Linked DNA regions of Lytechinus pictus. The protein of the gene in region 1 binds, or shares a complex with, the protein of each later gene. Links are inferred from orthologs where the notes say so. Each region holds a gene or a part of one and is shown in the gene's direction. Other genes may lie near its edges.

The links.
Region 2: dynein regulatory complex subunit 5-like (region 1) and dynein regulatory complex protein 9-like share a complex: the UniProt entries of both Homo sapiens proteins name them as parts of the nexin-dynein regulatory complex. The link is inferred for Lytechinus pictus from reciprocal best matches to the Homo sapiens genes DRC5 and DRC9.
Region 3: dynein regulatory complex subunit 5-like (region 1) and dynein regulatory complex subunit 4-like share a complex: the UniProt entries of both Homo sapiens proteins name them as parts of the nexin-dynein regulatory complex. The link is inferred for Lytechinus pictus from reciprocal best matches to the Homo sapiens genes DRC5 and DRC4.
Region 4: dynein regulatory complex subunit 5-like (region 1) and dynein regulatory complex subunit 7-like share a complex: the UniProt entries of both Homo sapiens proteins name them as parts of the nexin-dynein regulatory complex. The link is inferred for Lytechinus pictus from reciprocal best matches to the Homo sapiens genes DRC5 and DRC7.

Annotation. Positions count from the first base shown.
Region 1 is NC_087251.1:6,709,580-6,716,971, reverse strand, and holds the start of dynein regulatory complex subunit 5-like, read left to right. Parts: upstream 1-4,368; 5' UTR 4,369-4,709; intron 4,710-6,915; 5' UTR 6,916-6,952; coding exon 6,953-7,244; intron 7,245-7,392. UniProt on the Homo sapiens protein: Component of the nexin-dynein regulatory complex (N-DRC) a key regulator of ciliary/flagellar motility which maintains the alignment and integrity of the distal axoneme and regulates microtubule sliding in motile axonemes.
Region 2 is NC_087260.1:6,704,314-6,711,950, reverse strand, and holds the start of dynein regulatory complex protein 9-like, read left to right. Parts: upstream 1-4,635; 5' UTR 4,636-4,751; intron 4,752-7,637. Other genes in the region: large ribosomal subunit protein eL33-like, read right to left, coding at 133-280, 1,336-1,488, 1,997-2,013. UniProt on the Homo sapiens protein: Component of the nexin-dynein regulatory complex (N-DRC), a key regulator of ciliary/flagellar motility which maintains the alignment and integrity of the distal axoneme and regulates microtubule sliding in motile axonemes.
Region 3 is NC_087246.1:38,474,939-38,481,926, forward strand, and holds the start of dynein regulatory complex subunit 4-like, read left to right. Parts: upstream 1-3,970; 5' UTR 3,971-4,085; coding exon 4,086-4,088; intron 4,089-6,988. UniProt on the Homo sapiens protein: Component of the nexin-dynein regulatory complex (N-DRC), a key regulator of ciliary/flagellar motility which maintains the alignment and integrity of the distal axoneme and regulates microtubule sliding in motile axonemes.
Region 4 is NC_087251.1:24,802,650-24,810,388, forward strand, and holds the start of dynein regulatory complex subunit 7-like, read left to right. Parts: upstream 1-4,753; 5' UTR 4,754-5,374; coding exon 5,375-5,550; intron 5,551-7,395; coding exon 7,396-7,690; intron 7,691-7,739. Other genes in the region: tetratricopeptide repeat protein 27-like, read right to left, coding at 4,588-4,753. UniProt on the Homo sapiens protein: Component of the nexin-dynein regulatory complex (N-DRC) a key regulator of ciliary/flagellar motility which maintains the alignment and integrity of the distal axoneme and regulates microtubule sliding in motile axonemes.

The DNA of each region.
Region 1 (7,392 bases):
TCCCAAATTCACCTATTGACTTTTTGGACAAATATCTACAGCACTAATCAGGGGCCCGTTTCTCAACACCGTCATAAGTCTAACTTCTTGACTAAATCGGAGATAGTGAGCTACTTGTCCGCTAACCGAGTCATTTTTTGTTTGCTCCGGCCGTCGCGCCGATGCGCTATGCACGCACCGCATGCACAGACGGTATGCGCTGGCCGGGTGAGCGTTGCACAAGCAGATGATGGAGCAAATTTCGTTTGTATTTTCCATCATCACAAAACACAAAAAAGGCCGGGTACCAATGCAGAATTCTTCCCAAAATATCTCTAACAATGATATTTGCAGATGACAACATATAAGTTTAAAATGAAACAATATTAAAGACATGAATCACGCAGAGTCGATCCGAATGATTTTCGGTCAACTAGCACTCGCAGTCCAGACTCGCACACACCAGCCCCGTCCCAAGCCCGGCCCCATACACTCACTCTCCCGAAACGACAGGCGTGCTTGCCAGCGCCAGCAAACAAGTGCGACCAGCGGAGAGCGCTGTAACTTGCCTGAGATCCAAAATGAGCTCCAAATAAATTGATGGTAATAAATACGTAATTTTCTGTGGATGGTCATTTGAATTGGTATTCAATGCTGATATAACGATTGTGAGGAAATATTGTGGAATATGAGTTATGACAATGTTCGAGAATTAATCCTGATAATCCATTTATTTTAGAGTCAGACACAATAGCATGCGATCGAAATAAATACGAATGTCTCGGATCGAGCTCTAAATTCATATAAATTATTGTTGGTCTTTGGATGTTAAATAATTACGATTTAATAAGATTTTATGGCCATACTAAAAATAATGACAATGTCAGCAAAGTATGTTATGTTCATATGGAAGAATTAATAGTATTATACTGGCAGTATCTTTATTTTTATTCCATCTCTGGACGACGTCTCCGAGCTCCGAGAAAAGAAGCACAATGCGCATGCGCGTTCGATGACGTATGACATATTTTCCATTCATGAAATCAGAGCCCAAAGTTGGGCACAAACTAGCTTCAAATTGATGGGTAAAAATATCAAACACAATTTTCTCTGTTTTGTCATGTAAAATGTTATTATATGGTGATATTACGATCTTGAAAAGAGTTTCTGCATGTTGACAATGTTCGAGAATCAATCCTGACGTGATAATTATTTTTTTAGACAAGTGCACTCACTCAAGTCGATAGTCATGTGACGTCCGTGAATTGAAAATTGATACGAAATACAAACGTTTCACATCAAGCTCTAAATTCATATTAATGATTATCATATGCGAATTATTGTTAATTATTACGATTAAATCGTGTTCTAAGGTCATGATATTAATATTGTTCATGAAAGCAAGATTTATTTTACGTTGATCGCGCCAATTTTCCAGCCATTTTCTGGTTTGATTAAAGCACAGTACTGCGCATGCACGATCGATGGCGATGACTTTCATTCATGAATTCATCGTGCATAAATTATCTCGGCACGAGCAGACGAGTAAGACTCGAACTATGATCGAAATAAACTTCAAATTAATGGTGAATAGGCATCATAATTACACAATGGGTTTCATTTTGAGGGCAATATAAATCAAGTAAGTAGTAGTCAAGTTGGACATTACTGTTATTTTGATTTTTGATGATTGATTGTGTGAACCAAATGAATCGGCCGGCCGACGTATTTTATTTTTTATTTTTTCGATGCACCGATTTTGCAAAATCTGCACCGGCGCTCGATGACATCGATCGAACACCAATTTTAAAATCGATTCGACTCGGGCTTAATGGTAATACAAAGAAACTATAAAAACTGTTGGTAAACGCCACAAAACCATTCATTTAGAAATAGTAAAATGATTTAATCGATAAAGATTCTACCACGTCAGGCCATCCATAACTGAACTCGTATTTGTTGTTTTCAGACCCTATTAACAGTTGGATGAATTCTATCTCTAATTTATGCATATAATTTGTCCAATATCGTATCTTTCAGTATCAATGATTAAAAATGTTTCGTTAAACTATATTTTGATGACGTTTTGGAATCGTAAAAGTCCGTATAATTATCATCATTTTACAAAGAAAACCGTTATGGTTTACTTTCGCAAACTATTAAAATTGGGTCTCCAGGGGGTACCCATCTCAACGTCCACAAGTGATTTTTTAATTTTAGTCATGAAATGAATTATTCATAATTTGATTTTCTCTGCAATTGTATGCTCCAGTCTTCATGGTCTAAGTATGCATGATGCATAATTCACCTGTGCTATTATTTTGAACATATTTATTTCCCAATTCATCATAATATTTGCAATTTTTTCATAATTTTTCTTTTTGAAAATTATGCTATTTTGCGACTAAAAACTAAGCTAAGGCTACGTCTCGTCTGCTCTTTTTACCGATAGTATCGATATCAAGAAGGTATTCTACTTCTCTAGTTAGGAAGCCTTTCGAGAAACAGGTTTATATAGTAAGATTGGAACTAACTCCGTGGTCAGGTGGTTGGTGGATAAAGATATGACTAACTAGTAACTTGTCCATGTGTTGAGAAACGGGCCCCTGGGGCCCGTTTCTCAACACATGGACAAGTTAGTCTTATCTTTATCCACCAACCACGGAGTTAATTCCAATCTTACTAAACCTGTTTCTCGAAAGGCTTCCTAACTTAGCATACCTTGATATCGATATTATCGTTAAAAAGAGCAGACGAGACGTAGCCTTAGTCACAAAATAGCATAATTTTTGAAAAGCAAAAATGTGATAAAACTGCAATTATTGTGATTAATTTGGAAATACATCTAATAAAAATAATAGCAGAGGCAAAATATGAACCATGCATACTTAAACCATGAAGACTTGAGCATCTAATTGCTGAGAAAATCAAATTATGAATATATCATTTCATGACTAAAAAATCACATGGGGACAATGAGATGGGTATCCCCGGGATAGTAAATTTTGATAGTTTACGAAAGTAAACCACAATTGTTATGTTTGTAAAATAATGATAATTATACGTTTATTTATGGTTCCAAACATCATCAAAATATAGTTTAAATTAATTTTTTTAAATTTTTTTACATACCGAAACACACGATTTGACAAATTCTTTGCATAAATTAGAGATAGAATTTATCAAAAATGTTGATAAGTGTTTGAAAACGACGAATACGAGTCCAGTTATGGATGACCTGCCGTGGTAGAATCTTTATCGATTCAATTACTTTACTATTTTAAAATGAGTGGTTTTGTTGCGTTTTACCAACAGTTTTGATAGTTTCTGTGCATAACAATTACTATTGAATGATCTATCACACCTGTTTTGCAATGTAATTTCAACTTCTATGAATGATTACGTAAGATTACAATTTTCAAATTTCGAGGCAATTTTGCATGTCATAGTCTACCCACGTGATGCCACTACGTCATTAAGAAAGAAGTTATGACAGGTTCGGAGGTGTCATAAATATTTAGTGAGGTTGTTGTACCCGATCTTGGTAAAGAGGGCTTCGTGAAACGGTTAGCGGACAAGTAGCTCACTATCTCCGATTTAGTCAAGAAGTTAGACTTATGTTGTTGAGAAACGGGCCCCTGGTGCCGGGCGTTGCCTACCCTACCTACGGCCTATGGCTATGCCGGCCGGCCGCGCCAGCTAGCCTACGGCTACGCTAGCTAACTTCGGCCGCTAACTACGGCGCGCTACGAAAGCTGTGCGTACATGTATTTACATACAGTACCGTATGGGTACTAGTATTCAACCCGGCATAATTCGAAGATTTTGACATATTCCCCAAAATATTTAGAAATAGGGAATTTATCTTAATTTCATACCTTTGTTATTTCCAGGGTAATCTGTTGTCGATATTTTCTTTGTCAAGCTGTCGACTGTGCGCGCGGAGGATCGAATTATGCGGCGATGGCCTTTTGCACTGAATGGTACTAGTATTCAACCTAGTGAGGATTGATAGCAAATCTCAAAAGGGTTTAGATTGCTAAATTAGATCTAGATCTATGTAAGTCTCTGGCTTTGATTAATTCCCTGTTTGGTCTCATCTCAAATGGTCTAGTCCATAGTCGGATGGGACAAGGGCAGATTGAGAGACAGGGCCATCTTTCATCGCTAGGTTGAATACTAGTACCGACGGGTTGAATATTAGTACCAAAAACCGTCGCCGTATAATTCGATCGCCCGCGCACATAGTCAACTGGTTGAAGAAAAAAATAACGGAAAAAGAATAACCAGCATTTGCTCTTGGAAATAAAACGGGTCTGAAATTCAGGTAAATTCTATATTTCTATATATTTGAGGAAACTCTCCAAACGGGTTGAATACTAGTGCCCTTACGGTACATGGATAGAAAGGTGTGGGACAATGCAAGAAAATGAATGACCAAACTTCTTAGTTTACTGCACGGATAAAACAAGTTCAAACAAACTTCGAAACTTATTATTTTAAACTTGGCTTAAATTAAGCACCACGGCCCACCACAAACCAAATTGAATGTTAAGAATCCATGTAAAGGTAAATCTTACTTGCTTTTTCAAAATGACCGGCGGCAGAGTCAGAGTGGATTTTCTTTCGTTTTAGATCGGCCATATGAATATTCAAATTTTCATCTTGCGCATGCGCATTTCCAATTAGTTGTCACAGCAACCTGTATCAACAACGTAATTTTTTGGCAGGTAAGTAACAGAAATATTGTTAAAATATGAGACGTCCATTCTTATTATCAACTAGATTTCATTATTATTTAAGAGCGATGTGTGTTCATCTCCAGTCATAATATTGTGTGAGCAGGAAGAAAAAGAACATAAAAGTGGACCGTAGTATTTGTCTGCTTCGGACGAAATGCGGATACGGTACTGGATGAACCTCCACACAATCAAAAACTCCGCCGCCGCTGCGCTGGGGGGCTTGAGTGTCGTTGTGCGCTCTGTCCACCTCGGGCTGGTGGTGGTATGACTATGAAACTGAAAAAGCCGAAGGGGGGGGGGGGGGGGTCTACGCACCTAACTAAAACTTGAACTGAAGATTAAACATCGATTTCTTTAAAATTCTACAAAAATTGAAGTTGATATTGTATACCCAGTTGTTGTGTGTCCGGACGATCAATTTTAGAAAGTCATTTGGAAAAATTTACAAGCGAAGTTTCATCAATTTTTAGTACAAAATGTTAGGAAATATTAATAGAGAACAAAATAGAAGATGATTACAACGATTGAATTCGTATTTTTAGTGTAATCCAAAGAAAAAAAAGAAGGCTTCAAAAATATAAAGTGTCCGGACACCCGACCCCCCAAACTACCTTTATAATGTTTATTCTAATCTTCTTTCCTCCAAAGTGTCTCTCCTTTTCATTTTCAGATTGAAAAAAAAAGGTTCCTCTGGGCCGGCTCCGGCCATGGCATATATACTAGCCTAGGCTATCTGCGCACCCATTTTCACTTGGGGGGGGGGGGGGAGGTTGCATGAGGCCATGAGATGCCGTGGTCTAAGGCACCTGGCGCAGGAAAGTCTGGAGTTCAATCCCCTGGCCCTGCCACAGCATGCACTAGTGCTCTTTTAATTTTATCCTGCATTCAAATAAATGTTAGATAAAAATTATTTAAGCATTAACTAGGTGTGCACTAGACAGCTGGCAGCCGTCTGTTTCGAGGCGTTTTTTAACATTATTTTGTTTAAATTTCTCCTTGTACACAGACCGCTCGCTATCGTGCAGCCACCATTAGATGATTAACAATGCAAAATCCCCCCGACGGGGCACATCGATTTTTGTCTTTATTTCATAAAAATATACAAAAAGAACTGTACCAAAATAAAGATTATTATTCCATTTTGGCCTGAAATGCACCAACATGGGGAAAAATAAACTTAAAAGGGGAAAAAACAGTGACTTACTTCGGCTGTCGCGCAACTTCACTTCCCTGTTTTATCCGAACTTAATACATAAACATATGACCATTGAGTCCCCTGTACAGATCGCGCTAGAACTTCAGTCTCTGTATTTGGTGAGTGGAGCCAACGGAGTTCAGCGGAACAACCAACATAACAGAGACCGAAGCTTTTGGTCTAGGTGTGCACTTGTTTAAAAAAATAACAATAATAACATGAAATAGCTAAGATTCAATATTATTTCACAATTTTGACCTATTTTTAATGAATATCTGATTATGTTTTGCAGGTATAGATCTAAACTTTGTGGACGTTGTGTGTCTTTGACTTTGACTATGTAATTTACGCAGATATGCATATGGACAGACAAACATAAACAAGGGGCACTGTCAGACTTGGGGTACCATGCTGTAAATGATAAGGGTGGCTGATGGAAGTGTAGAAAATAGAATGCGTAATCTGTTAAGTGGGAAAATCACTCCTTTTTTTTTCTATTACAAACTTATGGAATCACATCGCTACTATCACATGATGTCACGTGTTTTAGGCCAGGGCAATTCCATAAAATGATCAACCTTTTTGTACATCCCACCCCCATTTTTCTCAAGTCTTACTTCACTTCATAAGCTGACCAAGTTATGGTCCTTTGAGAACTTTACAGACTGTCAAAAGATCAAGAAATCAGAGACAGACAATTTAATTAAGGTCTCGGGGGTCGGACGTACATATTTTATGAAATTTCCCGCCAGTGAAAGACACAAAGAAGCTTATTTTTTGAAGCCCAGTATATGGGGTTTTTCTTAACCTAAATAAGCAGCTGGTAAGGATAGATCTTTCATTGCTGTGTTCAGTAGCTTTTCAGCTTTTGATTGGAATATGATTAGGAAATTTCACTATTTGGGTCAAGTCTAGGTCTTTAAAAGAGGACTTCAGATAAAACAAGCCCAGGCTATAATTTTTAATCCTTTGTTTTCTTTTTTTATTTCTTCATTTCAGATTGTTTTTATATGACGACAACAACAACATTGTCATAATGACAACAGAACCACCTCTCTCAGATCAGCCGTCCTCAGCAGGGGGGAAAGGAGATGCAAATGCAAATAATAATGCTACAAGCAATGTCAATAACAATGCTAATAGTGCAAAGAGGGGAGGGAGGAGTGCAAAGCGGTCTATACCATCACCCATTACTAGTGCTAAGACTAATCCGGCAGCTGACAATCGTAATATGAGACGCATTATTGCAGAGGATCCTGATTGGTCACTGGCCACTGTACCTCTCCTGACAGAGCTTTGTGTAACACATATTGTTACTAATTTTGCAGGTACTTACGCAAGTCAACATTGCATCGCTTACTTTTGCTCTCAAGCACCTTGTATGTAAAACAAATTTTAGTATTCATTGTAGCAGTATAGCTGGGCTGGATCCAGGGTTGAATTATTGAGGGAGCACAGAATTAGTTAGAATTTTCT
Region 2 (7,637 bases), on another chromosome or scaffold:
GTGTTGCTGATGCTGCAGGCAAGACAATAAATATATCAGTCGGCAATCATACTGAAGATTTGAAATCAAACTGAAGGTTGTAACTCATACAAGGACTTGCCCCCTTTTTAAACAAATCTCCTAGCTACTTACCACCCTAATCCTCTTGCCGATAGCCTGGCCGGGAAGGTTGCTCTTGAACTTGGCCCTGCAGCCGCCACTCTTACCGTGTGTCTTGATGATCTTACCCCAGATCACACGGGTGTTGGTTGGCTTGTCCTTGCCGGGACACTTCGTCTTGCTGCGAAGAAATCAAAGGGAGAGTGTAGTCACAAATTGAGTCTTACAGAATTTACAAACAGTTAATTGACTCGCACATTGTGATTTGTCATGGAATGTGATAAAAAAAAAAGGCGAACAAGAAAAATTCAACCAAGCTTAGGATCGTCTTACTTTTTAAAAAGGGTTTTCAATAGTTTCTCTAAAACCTGGACTCTACCAGGTCTCACAGGGGAATAATTTTCCTGGTATCGCATCGCAATTCGCTCCACATTTTTTAAAGACTGCCATGCATAAAGTCTTTTGTATAGCATATTTTTACAAGGACTGTACATTACTTAGTTGAGAGCTTTTCTCTTATGACCAAAAATGCTACTCGAATTTGTAAAGCAAAATTATTCCATCTCATGGTTTTTATACACAAACGAACACCCTGTATCATGCTCATACAGTTCAGAGTAACTTCTGGTTCAACAGTCTATACCAATATCCCTTCCTTACTTCTCCCAGACATACTGGCACAGATTACATTAAAACATGCTCCAGGCTTGGTCTGCTAATGATTGACTTTCGATATTAACTGCTTGATTCATTTTACATTGCACATACTTTGAAAGATTGAGCATTAAATCATGAGACTTTGCATGGAATATTCTTGTATAAAACCTAAAGTCAAGCAAGTTTTGTAATACGCCTACTTTCCCCCATTCAACTACTGCACTGAGAAAAGCAATTTTCACTGGGTAATATTTCCCCAATTCATGGCTGACAAAAATCATTTCTATTTTTTCAAATATATCTTATAATCCTGCAACTGCTCTCTGTCACAAGAAAATTCTGCTCCTGACAATGACACCAGCTCTGTAGCACTTGCATCTTGAGTACTGAGATGCCAACCTTGTCAAATGAATTGCAATAGTTTGAGGGTAGAAAAACATTATTTTTAATTTTCAGTACGAGGACATTGTGAATAATACAATTCAACTTTGTGGAAAAGGTATTTCCATGGAACTTGCAATTTTTCATTAAAAAAAAAATCCCCAGATGGCATCTCTGGAAGTATCCTATTGAACTTACTTCTTGCACTTGTAGACGTAGGCACACTTCTTGCCAAGATACCAGGTGGCTTCCCTTCTGGATTCTACTCCCTCTAGCTTGAGAAGAGCTTGGTTTTCATGCTGGTTGCGGAGTCCTCTCCTGTAACCCGTGAAAACTGCCCTGCTGTATAACCTGTGTTGCACATAGACCAAGTCACACAAGACTTAACAATCAATTATGCTCCAAGTTAAATTCAAGGTAGCTGCGATTGGTTAGCAACAATTGTGCACAGTACAAGTAAAGTCACACAGAGAGAAAATTTAAATACCAAAATGTGATGTACAAATGTCTGCCTTGGGACCATAGGTATCTTCTGAAATACGCAGTAGAATACAGCTTTAACTTGGGCAATTGATTTTAATCATTTGACTTGTTGAAAGTTGCCTTATGCGAGCTTTAGTATGATTACCGTACTCTGCGCATCTCAATTATTACGACTAGCCCAATCTACCCTCTTATCACTGTTGCCTGTTGAAAATACTTGCATTTTAACTAACCCCATTTAGATAGAGTACACAATATTCCATAAGAGAGCATGTCTAAGGGCTCACTAAAATAAAACAAAATGATAGGGAAACAGGTTCTTGCTGCCTTCACAATTTGAAAGGAACTCATCAGAAATTTGGAAACTGACACTGACCTTTTGGATGCTACCATCTTGCCAACTCCAGCCAATAACTCTGTATGTAAAAGGAACAAAAATACACATTTAATTGAGCCATTATTTCATATCTGTCGCATGTGTGCCTCAGTATTCTGAAGAGTAAGATTCAAACTTGTGCCGATACAATGGTGCAATGTACATGCAGAGCTCTAATTGAGAGTGCTCAAAACTAGATTCAGTGACCTCAATTCCCCTTGGTTCACCGTCTGCCATCTTCCAATGAAACTGGATATGTTTACATTGACTAGCGCACTTAATTGGCGTCAGCACTTGACAGGTGAATGAACACAAATAAATTTCTTGTGTGGAGAAATCTTTGAAAACCCAGACAGTCCCTGAAAACTGGGACGATCCCAATTTTCTGACCAGCACCTCTAGTTCGGTCTGAGAATTTAAACGATGACGTTTATTAAGCGGTGGGCAAATTGTGGGGAAATTTGCTTAAAGGTCAAGTCCACCCCAGAAAAATGTTGATTTGAATAAATAGAAAAAAATCAAACCAGCATAACAGTGAAATTTCATGAAAATCAGATGTAAAATAAAAAAGTTATGGCATTTTAAAGTTTCGCTTATTTTTCACAAAACATTGATATGCACAACTCGGTGACATGTAAATGAGACAGTCGATGATGTCCCTCATTATTTCTTTTGTTTTTTATTGTTTGAATAATATGTTGTTTCATTTTTTACAGATTTTAAAAACAAGGACCGACTTGACTGAACCATATAGTATTGAACAATGCTTAATCCACATGTTCAGGGGGAATAAATCGTTGTTTCACTTGAAAATCAGGAGAAAATTAGAACATTTCATATTTCATGCAATAAAATACAAAAGAAATAGTGAGTGGATGACGTCATCAGTCTCCTCATTTGCATACCGATCAGGATGTGCATATAACTGTTATATGAAATAAAGCAAAACTTAAAAATGTCATAACTTTCTTATTTTACATCTGATTTTCAGGGGTGTGAGTGGTCACAAATAAAAAGATCTGAAAAAAGCTGAAGAGTGTTGAAAAAGTCTGAAATAGAAAGAGCTCCCATACTTTTTGTACAGAGGAAGGCCAAATAAGCTGAAAATCAAAACAAAGAAATCTGAGATGTTTGTGACTTCTATTTTCTTTTCCGCCGTTGTCAGAATATTGCGCGAGTTATATTTCTTCTCGGAGAACGGGAGTCCACAACGAAAGGTATATCACATACATTTCAACTCATCAACACCTCAAAACAATGTTAAAACATGTCCTGATAGATCGTACATTAATCTGAGATGTTTGTGACTAGTATTTTGTTTTATTTGTTTTTAATGGGTGATTTACATTTCTTCTTGGAGAACGGGAGTCCACAACGAGAGGTATATCAAATATATTTTAATTTTTCCAGACAAAAAGACCCCAAATTTTTTAGATTAACAACTTAACATTTCAATATTTTTGCCAATATCAATTTTAGGTATTGGTGTGCGCCGCCGATTAAAACATTAGGCCTACATTGAATTGGCAATGAAACTTGACTTTGGATCATTTAAAGCGCATGTGAAAATCAAAACATCACGTGCAAAATTGGCCACCACCGAATCGGCACGTTTCCGACACGCGTAAGAATAATCCTTGCAAGAACGCTGGCATGGCTGGGAGCACATTTGGGCCTATATTTATAAACGATGACCATATCTGACTGAGAATTTGAACAATGACATCGCATCGAGTTCGAAGACAAAAACTAAAGTAAAGGCAAATTACACAATAACAGGCTAGGCTAGCTTACACTTAGTTACAGCCTTTCCGGATTTCAATATTGAAAAGCAGTGGGCATATTTTATTATTTATTATTGTCTTTGTCATAACTTATTGACCTTGAAATGTGACTGTGACTGAGTGAGACAGACAGAGACGAAAGAAAGTCAGAGAGACTTGCCAGGCCCATGCACCGTTGGCCGTCACTGCAGTGGCTACTGCACTGTTGCGGCACTTTTTGCTTACAATTTCTGAATTCTGCATTTATTTTCTGGTGCGTGGTGAGGAAATTTTATCGACAAAGTCGGCTGGTGAGAAACAATACTATTAGAGCCAAAATGCCATGCCTCCTGACACCCCCCCCCCCCCCCCGTCGAATTTGCCAACTTGGATGTTCGACTTGGGATTCTTGGAAACGCAATGAATGAACGTCATCACACTTCACAGAATCCCGTATGACGTCGACCATGGTCCATGTACTAACGCATACAGGAGTTGATGGGACATGGGGGTATTCTCCACACAATCGGTCAAAATCTACTTCTCAATGCGCAATCATAAATGGTAGAACATATGACATTTAAGTAAAATAAAAAAGCTAACTAGTAAAGTTCATTCTTTGAACGTATAATAATATATTAGGGGGTATGAAGGTGTGAATTTTCATGTAAAAATGTGCATTACCACTCGTATGAGAAACAGAGGAGAAAAAGGCCAAATCTATAGTAAAATTATCTGAATTCAGATATTATTGATATAAATGATTTTGATATGAAAATAACTAAAATATTTATTTAAATTTTATGTTATATTAATAAAAGTAATTTACTAACAAGATTGATATTCATATGGACTCTTGTTATTTTTTTACATACTAATACTGATCGAGCCTTCGTTTGGAAGAGCTTGGAAACAACGTAAACAAGCAGGTAGAAAGGCCTACTTCCTGGGAAATCTCCCCAATTTCATGGTGTTGGCGTAAGGGATAACAGGTAGGTTTTCTCTAATAACTTAGAATATGTTCTTTCCTATGACTTCTGCGAGAATGTGTCTTTGAATAATGGACTTAAATAAAGATCTACTGAGTTTAGCCGAAAGACAAGTCGACAGTTTTGCCCGTGCGCCTCGGACCGTTGACGTTGTCGTGCTGGAGCTCCGCGGGCCGGGCTGGGCCCGCTTGCGCGGCTGTGCATGTCATGTGGAGCTAGCTGAGCCTGAGTAGCTCAGCCTCGGGCCAGGGCTCAGGGATCAGGCGCTGCGCTGGCGCGCCCAATTTTGCTCTTTGACGGGGTATTAAAAGGGAAGAAATAATAAAGATAAATTTACAGGCCTTATCGTCATCCAAGTCACTGGGGACAAACTTGAGAAACATCTCAAATATCAGCAATCTTTCAAATAAATAAATGGAATCCACGGTTGGAAGATTTTCAATTTCAAAAGAAATCTATTCGCGATGCGAAACGGTGCGAAGCTTCTCACTGAACAGGGACTTCCACCACACGTTTTCCCATTGACACAATAACAACTGACCCTGACACTTTCAAACGACAAAAATAGTCTTTCTTTTCTCTCCTAGACCTAGTCCTATGCTATGGCTGTATATATTCTTCCAAGTTGAAACAATGATAAAAAACACTAAATAAAACAAAATTAATCACACTAAAAACACTATTTAACTGTCTAATTACTCCTCGTGATCCGAGTCCCCTTCCCATGTTGAGACTACAAAATTCTCATAGGAGGGGACTCGGATAATGAGTGATAGCATATTACTCGTTATCCGAGTCCCCTCCTATGGGAAATTGGCAGTCTCAACACGGGAAGGGGACTCGGATCACGAGGAGTAATAAGACAGTTAAATAGCGTTTTTAATGTGATTTTCATTGATTTTAATGATTCTTATCGAAAATATTCATTTATACCTTTATACCGCATCTACTGGAAAAATAGAGTTGTTCCTGCAGTCAAGTGACTTGTTGTCTTCCTAGCTTGGATAAGTTCGAAAACTGAGTCTGTGCTATTTGTGCAATGTGCTGTGCCAATGTATTGAAATGAAAAAGGCACTATTCCCATGCGTGAACATAATGCCACTCAGACCAGAACTCATCATCTTATCATCTCTAGGAAACTGTCGAAGAGTGGTTTTGAAGAGGAGGGAAATGAGGGGTAGATGAATATCAACAGGTTAATTGCCGTTTTTTTTATTTTTAGGAGACGGTACTTGGATCACGAGTAATAGTACTCCTCGTTATCCAAGTCCCCTCCTGTATGAGAAATTGGACAGTCTTAACACGGGAAGGGGACTCGGATCACGAGGAGTAATTAGACAGTTAAATAGAGTTTTTAATGTGATTTTCATTAATTTTAATGATTCTTATAAAAAATATTCATTTATCATCTCTAGGAAACTGTCTAAAAGTGGCAGAGTGGTTTTGAAGAGGAGGGAAATGAGGGGTAGATGAATATCAACGGGTTAATTGCCGTTTTGTATTTTAAGGAGAGGGGACTTGGATGATGAGTAAAAGTACTCCTCGTTATCCAAGTCCCCTCCTATGAGAAATTGGACAGTACTTCAACACGGGGAGGGAACTCGGATCACGAGGAGTAATTAGACAGTTAAATAGAGTTTTTGATGTGATTTTCATTAATTTTAATGATTCTTATCAAAAATATTCATTTATCATCTCTAGGAAACTGTCTAAAAGTGGCAGAGTGGTTTTGAAGAGGAGGGAAATGAGGGGTAGATGAATATCAACGGGTTAATTGCCGTTTTGTATTTTTAGGAGAGGGGACTTGGATGACGAGTAAAAGTACTCCTCGTTATCCAAGTCCCCTCCTATGAGAAATTGGACAGTACTCTATTAAACACCGGGAGGGAACTCGGAGCACGAGGAATAAAGCAATGGAGACTGTTAAGAGGGAGATGCAATTTGATTTATATTTTTTAGTAAAAACGTGATAGACGAAATAAAGCATAATCATAAGAAACATATATATGAAAAGAGATTTATTTAGCATAAAAAGTACAACAAAATAAAGCTATAAGGACTGAAAAAGAAGTAGATGCAATCCTGATTTATTTAGTAAATTAGGAATCAACGAAATAAAGCAATGGAGACTGAAGAGGGATAGGGCCTATTGATTTATTTAGTAAAAACGTAGACGAAATAAAGCAAATTTTATATTGTGAGAAAAATAATATAATCCTGATTTGTTTATATGAAAAGTGCTAGTTTACGAAATTAAGCAATAGAGATCGAAAAGAAGTAGATGCAATTCTGATTTATTTAGTAAATTAGGAATCGATGAAATAAAGCAAATTTTATATTATGAGAAACATAAAAAGATTAATATAATCCTGATTTATTTATATGAAAAGTGCTAGTTTACGAAATAAAGCAATAGAGATTGAAAAGAAGAAGATGCAATTCTGATTGATTTAGTAAATTAGGAATCGACGAAATAAAGCAAATTTTATATTGTGAGAAACATAAAAAGATGAATATAATCCTGATTTATTTATATGAAAAGTGCTAGTTTACGAAATAAAGCAGATTGAAAAGAAGTAGATGCAGTCCTGATTTATTTAGTAAATTAGGAATCAACGAACTAAAGCAATAGAGACTGAAGAGGGATAGGGCCTATTGATTTATTTAGTAAAAACGTAGACAAAATAAAGCAAATTTTATATTGTGAGAAACATAAAAGATGAATATAATCCTGATTTATTTATATGAAAAGTATAGTTTACGGAATAAAGCAATAGAGATTGAAAATAAGTAGATGCAATTCTGATTTATTTAGTAAATTAGGAATCGTCAAAATAAAGCAATGGATACTGAAGAGGGATAGGGCCTATTGATTTATTTAGTAAAAAG
Region 3 (6,988 bases), on another chromosome or scaffold:
GTACGTTACTACGTTTGGGTCGTCGTAAATAAAAACTTTGGAAAAAAAAAAACATACAAAATACCTACATTGACCCCGCGATTGACCATGACCAGTATTTCAAAACCACTTTTTTTCAATCGGTTTTTGGTACAGATATATATATTTGACTAGCCCCCATAGTAGTGGTAGTAGTAGAAGTAGTAGTAGTATAGTAGTATAGTAGTAGTGTGGTATAGTAGTAGTAGTAGTAGTAGTATAGTAGTAGTATAGTATAGTATAGTAGTATTTAGTCGTAGTAGTACTAGTAGTAGTAGTAGTAGTAGTAGTAGTAGTAGTAGTATAGTAGTATAGTATAGTAGTAGTAGTAGTAGTAGTAGTAGTAGTAGTAGTAGTAGTAGTAGTAGTATAGTAGTAGAGTAGTAGTAGTAGTAGTTGTTGTAGTAGTATATATAGTAACAGAATTAAGAGCAGTATGGTAGCAGTGGTAGTAGTGGTAAGTCGTTAAATTTTAATCACCAAATAGTTCCAGCTCGCACATCGTGCGTTCGCATCATTTTAGTGAAATCCATATCCTCTTCAAAATTTACCTCATTTCAATGTTGAACAGTGATTAAATGTTCCCTTTCGGTACTATATTATACAGATATTGCCTACCTAGAGTTTGAATATAACATTTCCTCTACCTGACGGAGTTATATTTTTCCCAAGGGATTATATTTTGCCCGAAGCGCGCAGCGCTGAGGGAAAATATTATCCCGAGGGAAAATTATAGCTTCGGAGGGGAGTTGAAATGTTATTTATTAAAACGATAGACCAGGCAATATCTGTTATATTATATAGTCTATGTGGATTCGCCATCAGAATTGCATTCATCATCTGGCTCAAACCCGAAATTCTTGCTACAGCTCTAATCCATCTACGTCATAATATATTTTTTTTTTAAATACATCAAGCGCGTACTTCATGCAATCGACGCGTTAACATTAGCGCGTACATCAATAACTACCTTGTTACGCAACTTGTATGCAGCGAGTGACGTCACCTTAGTGAATATAACGCCGCAATTGACAATACAACGCAGTATATTCCCTGAGGTGACGTCAAAACCTAGAATATAACAAATGCGATCCTCGCAGTTATGGTCACGTGATGGTGTATTGACCTATCACTGATTCGAATCTACATAACCTATGTAATATAACAAAATATCGGCTCGCGCTTCGCGCTCGCATTAATTGTCTACTGAGATACACAGCTTGCATGTTCTTTATTTGTAGGAATATCAAAAATTCACAGCTCGCGCTTTGCGCTTGCATTATTTGATGAGCAAATGACAAGCTTTTGTGATTGAAAAAAGTGCATAGAATCAGATTTAATGTCCATTTTTTTTCCAAAAAAAAACCAGACATCCGATGCAATCTAAAAACATCATCTCGCGCTTAGCGCTGTTTATGTATACTGAGAAACGGTTTTTTTTAATGATAAAAAAAAAGGCTGAAGAATGTCAAGTTTTCAGGTCGCATTATCAAAATATGGTACTTACTGTACATCCATTCAATTTGAGTGAGATATGTATCATCCTTATGGGTCACTGCAGAGAGTCCTTAATAGGGGTTCATTTTCATGTCAGAGTATCGAAGATTTCAGCTCGGGAAGTTTCGTACTCAAGTTAATTGTTGAGGATTGTAAAAATTGCTTAGAATGTCAAATATGCATGGATTCGAGGAAAGGGAAATGGAAGGAAAGGGAAAGGGAGAGAAGTGGGGCATGATTGGGAAGGGAAGAAAAATATTTATTAAAAAAAAGAAAGATGTTGCTTCATAATAAAGAGGGACACTTCAGTGACACTTTTCAGAAACGAGGAGGAAAAGCCTCGGGGACTAAGTTTGGGGGAAAACATACCCTAAGTACGTTACTACGTTTGGGTCGTCGTAAATAAAAACTTTGGAAAAAAAAAAACATACAAAATACCTACATTGACCCCGCGATTGACCATGACCAGTATTTCAAAACCACTTTTTTTCAATCGGTTTTTGGTACAGATATATATATTTGACTAGCCCCCATAGTAGTGGTAGTAGTAGAAGTAGTAGTAGTATAGTAGTATAGTAGTAGTGTGGTATAGTAGTAGTAGTAGTAGTAGTATAGTAGTAGTATAGTATAGTATAGTAGTATTTAGTCGTAGTAGTACTAGTAGTAGTAGTAAAAAAAAAAGGCTGAAGAATGTCAAGTTTTCAGGTCGCATTATCAAAATATGGTACTTACTGTACATCCATTCAATTTGAGTGAGATATGTATCATCCTTATGGGTCACTGCAGAGAGTCCTTAATAGGGGTTCATTTTCATGTCAGAGTATCGAAGATTTCAGCTCGGGAAGTTTCGTACTCAAGTTAATTGTTGAGGATTGTAAAAATTGCTTAGAATGTCAAATATGCATGGATTCGAGGAAAGGGAAATGGAAGGAAAGGGAAAGGGAGAGAAGTGGGGCATGATTGGGAAGGGAAGAAAAATATTTATTAAAAAAAAGAAAGATGTTGCTTCATAATAAAGAGGGACACTTCAGTGACACTTTTCAGAAACGAGGAGGAAAAGCTTAGAATGTCAAATATGCAGTGAAGGGGAAATTGATGCACAGGAGGTGAATCCCCTCCCATGAAGATAAATCTATAGGAAAAATAAAAAATGAAATGGTAGACGGTAGAAGAAAAAAATTGAAAAAAAAATAGAACAAAAAGGTAAAATAAAACAAAGAAGAGAAGAAAGAATAAATATAATATTTCGTATTCTCTCCGTCTTTCTCTATGTTCTCTTTTTTTTACTTTCCTTTCTCTCCTTTCTTTCTCCTTCTCTTCTCAACTTTATCTTGGACTTTTTTGTTTGTACTACCTTCCTTATTTCTTTTGTTTGCCCTCATTTTAAAGAGTTTTAGTGGCAAATTATAGCCCACATGAATTTAGATTAAAAAAAAACATTGTTAGCACGCTGCCAGTACTCACTCGCTTCATTTTCTTTCCCTGTATTTTAACCATCCAAAACCTGTTGTTGATCTGATGCAGTCTTTTATTACAGACTGCTGTCTATCGAATTGATTCATCAGCATAATTATGCCCGGGGGGGGGGGGGGGGGCAGTCAAATGAATTGCTGTACACACGCGTGGCCAAATTATTACCAAACACCCCCTAAACATTTTTTTCTCTGTGTGCAAAATAACCCCCTAAACAAGTTTTTCGCGGGATTTATTTACACATTTTGACCCCTAAACAAGTTGTCGCCAGAATATGACCGCAGGGAAAAAGCTTGGGGGAAAAAACATGCATGCCCTAAACACGTTTCAATAGTCTTTAAAAAAAGCTTTGAAAAAAACATACCCTAAATACGTTAGACCCTGCGATTGACCAGTCTTTCAAAACTACCCCCCCCCCCTTTTTTTTTTTTTTTAATCGCGTGGCCCGCGTCCAAAACTGAAAAAAAACTACCCCTTTAAACGCGTTTTTGGGGTCACGCGTGTGTACAGCAATACATTTGACTGCCCCCCTGCTCCTCTAAAATGCAGTATACTTTCACCAAGACGTGATTAAAAGTTTGTGTAAATTTTAAGATTCTGAACTTTCTAATCGTCTCTCTGCTTATGTTCAAACTCTGTACTTTATAATCGAGGAACAGTGTAACCGGTGGGAAGGGGTGGGGGGCTGGTTGCTTCTGGTCCTCTCCTCAACCTTATTCAATAATATTAACATGTACAAAAACGTGAAAATTAGTAAATTACCATAAAAATTTGATTTTCTTTTTGCATGTTAATGTTAACCCCCCCCCCCCCCCCCTCTCCGTTCCGTTCCATCTCTGATCTACCTCTTTATTATTTTGCTGTTTGTTTTTGTTTAATATTTTGTCTTTGCATGAGTACGAGTTGTCCCCACCACAGGCCTCAGCTTTGCCAAACTATAATGTATTTCACAATAGATGGCGCACGCGGAATTCCTTTTTTTAACATCCGGGTTATTTTGCATTGGTTTCTATGATCAACAACAAACAGTCAAGAGTTAGGCACAAGAAACTGTCGTATTTTTCAGCCGAAAGAGAACTAGATATCTACAATTCAAAATGGTGAGTTGTTAAATTGATCCATTATTATGTTTCTTAACTTACATTTTGTTCTGTTGTGCGATTTATTGAACGATTTTGTGTATTAAGTTAAAAGTAATGATGGCAGCAGGATTTATCTAGTTGATGCGGACTCTACCAAGTTGCTAGGCGGACAGCCCAGGCAGGCTGTTGGCTGTCGGTAGGCTGAGAATCTGCCTGCAGCACGCGCATCAGCCGATTTGCCCATTTTGATATTTGAAGTTTATCATGATTTTATTTCAAAATTCAACGTTTGGATTTGTTGATATGTGTGTGATACGTATTGATTTGGAACAAATTATTTTACCTAAATTAAATGTGGTAACAACATGCACACATTTAAAAAATCATTTTTTTTTATTATTCAATCAAAAAAATTTCACATTCATAGAATCATTCATACTCAGTTCACACAAAATGAATAAAAATCATTAATACCAAACGGAAGGCAAGATCCTAGATTAAAAATCACTTGAGGGCGAGGTAATTATAAAGTAAGTCAAGGGTTTCGCTGATATCATGATGACAAAGTCAAAATTCCATGCCAATCGACTAGTTCCAGGGCTCTTTTGACCATTTTTGGCCTGGGGCTAAATCGCCCCCAACCCCTGCGTAATATTTTTCCCTGGCTCAGAATGCAGTGCTTTGTCTGTATCACACTCAAGGTCATTACATGCCGCCACGCACAGAAAAATCAAGCCATAGAAGTTGTGTGTTGTGGACACCAGAAGTTGGGTCGCAGCACACGCGACCCACTGGTTAGAAATCCACTGCCAAATGCGGTTCATGGTGCGAGTTTAGTATACTATTACTAATACTAACCTCGCAATACGTGTGAGTGTGTCTGTATATGTGTATCTTTACCGTTCTAAGAAAATAACATTAACCTGCAATACATATATATATACAGATATTCCAAAATCTGACTCAAATTCTAAATGGTTGAAAAGGCATCTAGACATAATCTACAGTGGCTAAACTTACTAATGGACACAGACTCACTCCTTGCCCTTTCTTGAAAAAGTCTCAAAATTGGTGATTTGAAGCCGGTTCGCAGTACCCCACACGTATTAATTCACCGTCGAATCCAAAATGGAAATCGCGAAAGCATATTGCACACGGGTTGTGCGCAATTCGCATAATTTGCCATTTTTTAAACCCTGGCCCATGGAGAACCATTTTTACTCTGTTTTTCTTTTCTGTAATTTTACATGTCTAGTAGACATATAATTACTCAAGTTGTATTGTATGATGATTTGTAAGTCTTTATGGCTGAATAAATAATAAAAATGATTTGGGCTATACATGTAGATGCTACTTGATAGGCTTAATCTTTTAACATTTGTCACTCTCTGATGGTTGTGTCGGGAGTTTGATTGTAGTTAGAAATTGTTATTTTTTATTGTTAAACTTTTTCTTTTTATGATTATATTGATGATTGGTGACACCACATTAGCTGCGGGCTTAATTTCGTCTAAGATGTAGGATTAGGGGTAGGTTCGCAATAGGGTTTTATGTTAGGTTTAGGATAAGGTATAGCGTTATTCCCAGGGTTGAAGTTGGTCATGAATTAGATTAGTGAGTGGAATTTAGAATGGAGCAATCGTCGCTGGAGAAAATGTCATGGAACCTGATGATCATATGTTATACTGATATGAATACTTGTCATGCTAATTTTGGAAATGGTAAAGAGTAAATCAATTGGATAGATCTATAGACTCAATACTCGGTGCCAATAAATTTTATGCATGTAATGAGTAAAGAAAGATCTAACAATTATGGTAGATTTACTGATTATTTCATTTTTGTCTCGCCTGCATAGCAGAGCGAGACTATAGGCGCCGCTTTTCCGACGGCGGCGGCGGCGGCGTCAACATCAAATCTTAACCTAAGGTTAAGTTTTTGAAATGACATCATAACTTAGAAAGTATATGGACCTAGTTCATGAAACTTGGACATAAGGTTAATCAAGTATTACTGAACATCCTGCCTGAGTTTCAGGTCACATGACCAAGGTCAAAGGTCATTTAGGGTCAATGAACTTAGACCATGTTGGGAAAATTATTTTCAAAATCTTAACCGAAGGTTAAGTTTTTGAAATGACATCATAACTTAAAAAGTATATGGACCTAGTTCATGAAACTTGGGCATAAGGTTAATCAAGTATTAGTGAACATCCTGCTCGAGTTTCAGGTCACGTGACCAAGGTCAAAGGTCATTTAGGGTCAATGAACTTTGGTCAAGTTGGGGGCATTTGTTGAATTACTATCATAACTTTTAAAATTTATGGATCTAGTCCATGAAACTTGGACATAAGGTTAATCAAGTATTAGTGAACATCCTGCCTGAGTTTCAGGTCAAATGACCAAGGTCAAAGGTCATTTAGGGTCAATGAACTTTGGCCAAGTTGGGGGTATTTGTTGAATTACCATCATAACTTTGAAAATTTATGGATTTAGTTCATGAAACTTGGACATTAGGTTAATCAAGTACCACTGAATATCCTGTGTGAGTTTCAGGTCACATGACCATGGTCAATGGTCATTTAAGGTCAATGAACTTTGGCCGTGTTGGGCGTATATGTTAAATTACCATCCTAACTCTGAAAGTTTATGGATCTAGTTCATAAAACTTGGACATAAGAGTAATCAAGTATCACTGAACATCCTGTACGAGTTTCAGGTCACATGACCATGGTCAAAGGTCATTAAAGGTCAATGAACTTTGGCCGTGTTGGGGGTATTTTGTTGAATTACTATCCTAACTCTGAAAGTTTATGGATCTAGTTCATAAAACTTGGGATATAAGAGTAATCAAGCTTCACTGAACATCCCCTGTGAGTTTCAGGTCACAAAACCAAGTCAAAGGTCAGTTAAGGTCAA
Region 4 (7,739 bases), about 18 Mb from region 1:
ATAAAAAGTTAAAGGTCAAAATATGTGAAAAACTGTGAAAACATATACTTCCCAATAAATCTTAAAATCAGAAAAACTTTACACCCTATATGAAAATAACATGCATATTTCAACTCTTTAGAGTGAGGCCTTTCCAATGATATATAACTTGTTAGGGATAACTTTTACCAAAATAATTTTAAGCGATCATCTTTTAAGACAAAATTTTACATCACAATTTTTCGGGTAAATATGTAACAATACTTGATTTACCCCAAAAATATTATGTAGTCTTGCCTGTAGTTGCATAAATACAGTTTGCAAACACTAACCAGTATATTATAATATATTTACTGTGGTTATTATGAATAAAAAATTATTTTATTTGACTCAAATCGTGGGATTTGTCATCTCTTGGCTCAAAGATCAGTGGACCAAAGGTTGACAACTGAGAGTCAGGTTTAACATAAATATAGAAAAGATATGAATGCACAATGAAAACTTCTCATAACTGGTTTAGCTTAAACTTAGTGTGAACAAAAACAACTAACATGTTATAAATAAATCCATTTATCTATCACCTGGCAAAAATACTTTGATTATGTTATTTTATAGTGTTATACATGTGGGCATTTTCACGGTAACTGACATTACATGGCACAATGTTTTCACACCTTTCATTGTGTGTATCTCTAAAACAACAAATGATGGGAGTTTGCTTTTGATAGAGTTAATAAAGTGAACCTTGCTGTATACTCTGATACTAAGTTTTTCTATGTAACCACATTTTTTTACGCATCAGCAAGCAAAAATGTGTCGGTAACTGACATTACGAAAAAGGACATGCAATTTTAGGGTGTTCATTGAAATTGAAATATCTCATGTCCCTGAGTAGATAGAGTAATAATTTGAATATGTAAATATACCTCCGTTACTAGGTTAAGATGTGTCAAAATATTAGACAATTAGTTTTTGTCTTTTGAGGGCTATGATAATTTTTCCGCAACCATGCTGGTAACTGACATTACGGTAACTGACATTACACTTAATTTGCCATAGAGATAACACATGGAAGTCAAATGTGTGGAATCATTGCATTGTATCTTCTGTGCAGTGCTTCACATGAAAGTGAGCTTGGTGTGGAAGTATACCCGAGTTTCTAGGAACATTTCAATGAATTTTATTTTTCTTTTTCTTAATTCCATTCTTTGATTTGAACATTTTTATCAAATTTGTCAGTAACTGACAATGCACATTGACATTTACCAGTGCTATATTATTTTCAAAGGCATAATTTTCTTGGTACTTATATGTGAGGCTTTTTAAAATCATAAAAGTTTCATAATAATTCACATTTTTAATTATCAAAAGATAAGAAATTTATGTTTTACTTACTCGGGGGGGGGGGGGGGGGGGTCATAGCAGCTACATGTTTTGCTATAGTAATTTAATATTGCATTGACTGTACACATGGATTTTTCGGACTATACACCCATAATATATTCATCAGTTTTATATCGACTTTTTAAACCTTTTCCTTCTCCAACCTCCCCCTCCCCTCAAAAAAGGCAAAATGAATAAGGGTCTCCTCCCCTAGGCTACACGTACCCCTCCCCCGAATCTCATGCAGCCATGTAGTTTTATTGATTTCTATTCTGGTCAGTGCAAGCAATGCTTGTTCATATCTGTCGGATTTCTATTCTCTTCATAATTTGTTTAATCATTTTCTTTGCTAATTTCTTTTTTAAGCTGTCAACAAAAAATAAACTCCAGCTTCTAAACTGAAACTGAACTATTTGTAAATTAGAAAAAAAAAAAGTTTTAGTAGATCCATGCAACATTGATCAGAACTGTCAAATTTCACTTTTCCTCTATACTTATGAACCAAAAACAAAAATTGTATCACACATCCACACTACTAACAGGCATAAAAACCAGAAATTTACTTTTAGCGAGGCAATGCTCAAAAGAATCCTAGAAACTAAAAAAGCGACCCGGGAAATCCCCTTCATCACAATGTTAAGCTTAAAAAATACTGCAGATTTAGGCAATACAATAGCAAGCTCCTTCTGGTGTGACTTTTAACCCTAAAAAGACTGGGGGGGGGGGCTGATTCAGCCCCCACCCTCGACATTTTTCGCGATAAATCCGCCGTGCCAATTTTTTTGACCGGGTCACTCGCTGACTTTTTACTTTCAAGTCTCGCGCAACTTTTGAGACCAAAATTGTGACCCCCGGGTACGCGGTTCCAAAATTACACAACATTTCGTAAGTGCATGCAGACCTAAAATTACTCAAAAACGTGAATTTGTGTACAAATCCAATGCAAATGGTGTTTTTAGCCAAAATTCATAAATGTATCATTATTTTTACTTTTACTGCTTAAAATAAATAAATTTTATCTTTTTTATGGTCAAAATAAAGTCCCTGACGATTTCCATTGAAAAAACAATAAAAAACAAAAAGTCGAAAAACAAGGAGATACATAAGAAATTTAGAAAACAATAGAATACATAAGAAAATAAATGTAATGTTGAAAATTTTGAAAAATAAATTTGATCAGATGCCTATCTAGAGTATGTGAAACAAAAATAAGCATTTTAGGTGCATTATTTTATTAATTAGAGCAAACTTATGATTTTACGCATAAATTAGCATAATTAATGAGCAATGAAATTTTTCGCAAAATTTGATTTTATAGTTTTGTAGATAATGCCATGGGTAATGCGCGTGCCAATTTTTGTCGTGATCGCGCAATCGACGGCCGAGATCATAAGGGGGGGCTGAATCAGCCCCCCCCCCAGTCTTCTTAGGCGTTGAAATAGCCCAGTCTATTAAAGTGAAAGACTTGAATAACAAGTATACAATATTTCTTCACCATAAAATTGACCACATATTTGCATTTCAATATTGGTAACCAACGTTTTATCATGGTAACTGACATTACATATCGGTAACTGACATTACATTTTCCACTTGGTAACTGACATTACATATATTCAATGGTACGCTATGGCTTCATTGTTAATTGGTAATCTTTAATTTTGGTGTAGAAGGGAGGGGTGTTACCTAGAGAGGAAATCCACCAAGTTTCATATAATATATCCTCTTTTCCAGGAAATGAGAAAAAAAAGTTAATGTTTTCGGTAACTGACATTACATACCATATCACATATTTCATCAATGTTTTTTTATCAGATGAATGAATTACTGGTGTTTCTTTCTGTGGGATTTTAAAAAGTGTTATAATAGCAAGCTAAATCACAGGCGAAAACATCATGATCAAACCTGTTCTTTAAAAATCTGTCAAAACAAATTATGTATCAATATACTATTTTCAACACTAATTTGTATCCATATATTGGCAGCCATTTTGAAATAAAAAATGGCTGCCAGAGTCGGAAAATTTTTTTGTCTCAGAAACTTCAGGTCTTGTATTATTAAAAAACATAAAGCATTTGACATGAATATCAACTTGATTTTTTTGCCTCTGTGTCCATCTGTGGTGAAAATGCCCATGTATGTATTTTAAATATATCCTCTTGCAGGACATGGTCTCTTGGTCGTACTGGTACTGGTAAATGAAGTAATCTCGTGTATTCCTTTAATCTTTAAAGTAATTGGTATAAAGATTTCCTTTAATGTGATACCAAATGCCAATACAAAACACATTCTATGGGTACAATTGCTTCTGTTTAGAGTTATCTTTGTACCAGTGTCGTTCTCAAGTAGGTTTTTGATAATTGGGAAAAATATTCTCTGAACACTTTTGTGCCAGCCAAATGTGTCATCTACTGATTCATAGACGCAGTGTGATGTAACATTAAGAAAAAAAGAGTTAAAAAATAGATCAGATGAGGTCTTTATTGCTCCAAACAAGTTTTCAGCAATCAAAATTGCATAAAAGGTGTACTGGTGTTTATGTTACCAGAATAATCTGAAGATTCGAACACATTGAAGTCATCACTGTCAGTCTAAACTGTCAAAATTGAAACCATGAGGTCATAATTAACAATAAATTGATTTCTCTCTGAAGTCTTTAGTTTGTGCTTTTCCCTTTGAAATTTTTGCAGCTTCTAAATTTTATTTAAGGTGTAACCCACAACTATACTTTATCTCTCCTCATTTTCTTTACATCAGACAGCCACAATTTCAATCGTGTTAATTTCATGATTGACATCAATTACTTATACTATTATTTAGCTTAATTAGGTATCCTTTAAACTAATTTGACCCACCATGCAAAAAAGGCCAATTGATGTTACATAATTGCTAATTACTGGTAAATGAAGTAATCTCGTGTATTCCTTTAATCTTTAAAGTAATTGGTATAAAGATTTCCTTTAATGTGATACCAAATATACCCATGTAGCACATGTATTTCAAGTTTTATAACATTAATCATGTCTGTGCTTGTCATGCAAATGTAACAATACCAGTTACCACCTATTTCATGTATTTGCGCATCATAACCTTGTTCATTGAATGAGTGTATTTGCGGGCCCAACATAAAACGCAAGGCCATCTCTTGTTAAATATGTTAAATATGGACTTCCTTCCCAATTAATTATTTATCTAGGGAATTCGGATAACTAGGCCAATCATTACCCTCTTTGTCCAGATCGATGTCATTGGGGACAAATTCCCTTATCCATTCTTCACAGAGCTCCAACTCACTGTCCTCCACCAACTCCCCGATGTTTTCATTTCCGAGTGATTGCGCAATCCTTTTCTCTATTCGCCACACACACGGGAACTCATGCGACATCGACATTTTTGTGTGCTTAGGCTTTAGCTTCAGTTACTGATAATATAGGATCCTTTTTTCTAAAAACAAAGATAACGGTTTCATAAAATGTTGGCTGAATAACTCACGAAACTCAAAATTCGATATAATCAATGATCTATCACTGAAAATATCAGAACTTAATGAAGCCGGGATTCAATGAAAAACACTGCCAGCGTGTTGATGCTATGGCCATGGGCGCTGCCATATTGTCTGAATGAAAAATATACTGCCATCAACGATCTGTCTGTAATATAGTTTGTGTTTCACAAAATATGTTATTCCTCCGCGCATATTAAAGTATTAAATCAACATTAAAATCGTTTAATTATGCGTTTTTATTTCAATAATCCTTTGAATATTGTTTTTCGGATTTCCTTTAGTTCAAAATTTCTCAATATTTGAGCCTGGATAAAGAACTATATTATACGTTGTTGCTATGGTGCAGGGATATCTGTATACAATAAGCTGTGAGTAGACGTCAGACTAGACCGTGATGTCGTGCAGAGCTAGCGTTCAAAACAAATGTCAATTCGACCTTTCCATTTTTCTTAAAATATTAAACAAATCAGTAACTTTTAGAGGGTAATTTCCTGAGAAATTTCTGTCATGGAAGGAGTAGGAGATGGTCCATCTATAGTTGTTGACAGTGGAGTTGATGATGGGACAATTTTAGAAGAGGGAACTGGCACAGAGAATGAGATTCCAGCTGATGCTTTGGCAGCAGTCGGCGAGTTGAAAGACGAGCTTGACCAGATTGTTTTAGAACCTCCTAAAATAGACATGTAAGGATGAATTGCATTTGTATGAAAAGGGTTAACATTTAGACTTAACAATGAATACAAATTAAACCATAATCGGCAAGAGTTCCATATGCACCCCCACTAAAATTGAAAATAAAAACGTGGAGAAGGGACTAAAGGTGAATGCACACAGAGCAAAAAATTTCACCCTTTTGACCAAAATCATTAAATTTGGATAATGGGATCATGCGGTGAAAAGCCTTTTCACCGCATTCACACAGCCAAAAATGGTCATAGTTTTGAGGAAAAAATCAAAGTTCAATGCATTTCTGACATGATCCCGTTATCCAAATTTAATGATTTTGGTATCAAATTAAAGAGAATAAATACCCGGTACCGGTACTCCAATTCCAAATAACCTCCTTACAACATGCCTTAGTTTACATGTCGTTGGGTTACTGCCATAATTTTGATGTGGCAATAAAAAAAGAAGTTCAGAGTTTTGTATCTTGTGAATAAATGTAGGCCTATTAGGCTATAGGCCTACCATATTTTGTAAACCATATTTTGTAAACTGGTGGGTTTTTGTAATAATTGCAAATCCAATGGAAGTACGGTACTCATTTTTCACATTTCCTTTAGGATCAAGTGTCAGAATTAATTTCAAAATACCCTTCCTCTATCACTTTAGAATTAAAGTAGAAAGACCAAATGCAAAACTGCACACAAAATATCTGCACTCTGTGTGTGGTCGTGTGTTTCAGCTGCGTGTGTGTTGTGACAAATTATACTACAGTCTACAGTCAGAGCCTAGTATTGGGAGCATTTGGCTGAATTTCATTCAAAATTCATTTTATTATTACTCTAAAACCGATTCATGGATTACTATGAAATTTGGTAGATTTCTATTTTGAACTATTTTCATCAAGATCTGAAAAAGATCAGACAGTCCAATGAAGTGGATGATGAGATAGAAATATATTGCGGTCTCCCTAATATCTAGACCTAATAATATAGAATATATATGATGGAGGAGTGGAAATACATACCAAAATATGGCTTTATTCCGTCAAATTTTGAGCAGGATCTAGTGCATGTAATTGTCCATAGACATTGGTTTATTTAGTCAGTGAAGGGTCTGTGAGTCTAGACTAGTCAACCTATTGGCTGATAATCATTAAAATACCCCTTTCAGTATCAGCGCTTCTCACTAGTATAGTGGGAAGAGGTCTAGACTGCAGATAAAATGAGGTGAGTCCCAACTAAGGTAAGCAAGAGTGAAAAATTGATAGAAAAATCTGAAGTGAACGAACCGGAAGTCTCAACAATCTTTTGTTATTTTTGGTGGGGGTGCATATGGAACTTTTTCCCCATAATCAATTTAATATTGAAGTAAGGCCGCCGAACATTGAGGTTCCATGCACCTACCACCCAAAATGACAATTGTCGAGACTTGTCTTCAGAAGTTCAGGTTTGTTCACTTCATATTTCTCTAACTTTTGTCAGGCCTGTCTTTTTTTTTTAGTGTTTCTTACCTTGCTTGGGACTCTAACAAAACCAATGTAGCTGCTGTCAAGACCTCTATCCGCTATGCTAGCGGAAAATAAATAAAGAATTTGAAAATGTACTTTTTGACCATTTTCCATCTTTTTATTTAAACTCCCTTGGAAGGATGTTGCGAAGTTCTATCTTTAAAGTATCTGAAATTATTTTCTGATGCATACAGTAGCACTCACAGTCTTAAATGCAAGGCGGGTCATTAATACTATCACTCACTATATGAAGGATTTTGGAATTTTCCATTGAAAAAGTTTCAGAAGTCCACTCTATCTCCTTTGTGAATTCAAGAATTTATGTTTATTCAATTTTTTTCTTAAAATCCTACAGGACTCCTTCAGACCTTCCTCTGCAAAGCTACCCTCTAACTTACAGGGAGAATGACAACAAAGAGAAGCTGGTGTTGGCTTATGCAGAAAACTTCCGACGACAGTATGTTCATCTTTACAGAGACCGCAAACCACTTCTTCTGTGCCCTCTAAATGAGTGTGGGGTAGAAAAGTTTGTCTGTACCACAATCAGACCCACAACACTACCATACCAGGAACTTTATGACTATGACGGCTGTGCAGAATTCGTTTCTGACTATATCACTTTTGAACCCCTTGATCCTTCTGTAGACTTGGTGAGCACCTTCAGATGTTTTGCTGATTCTTTGACTATTATGATAATTG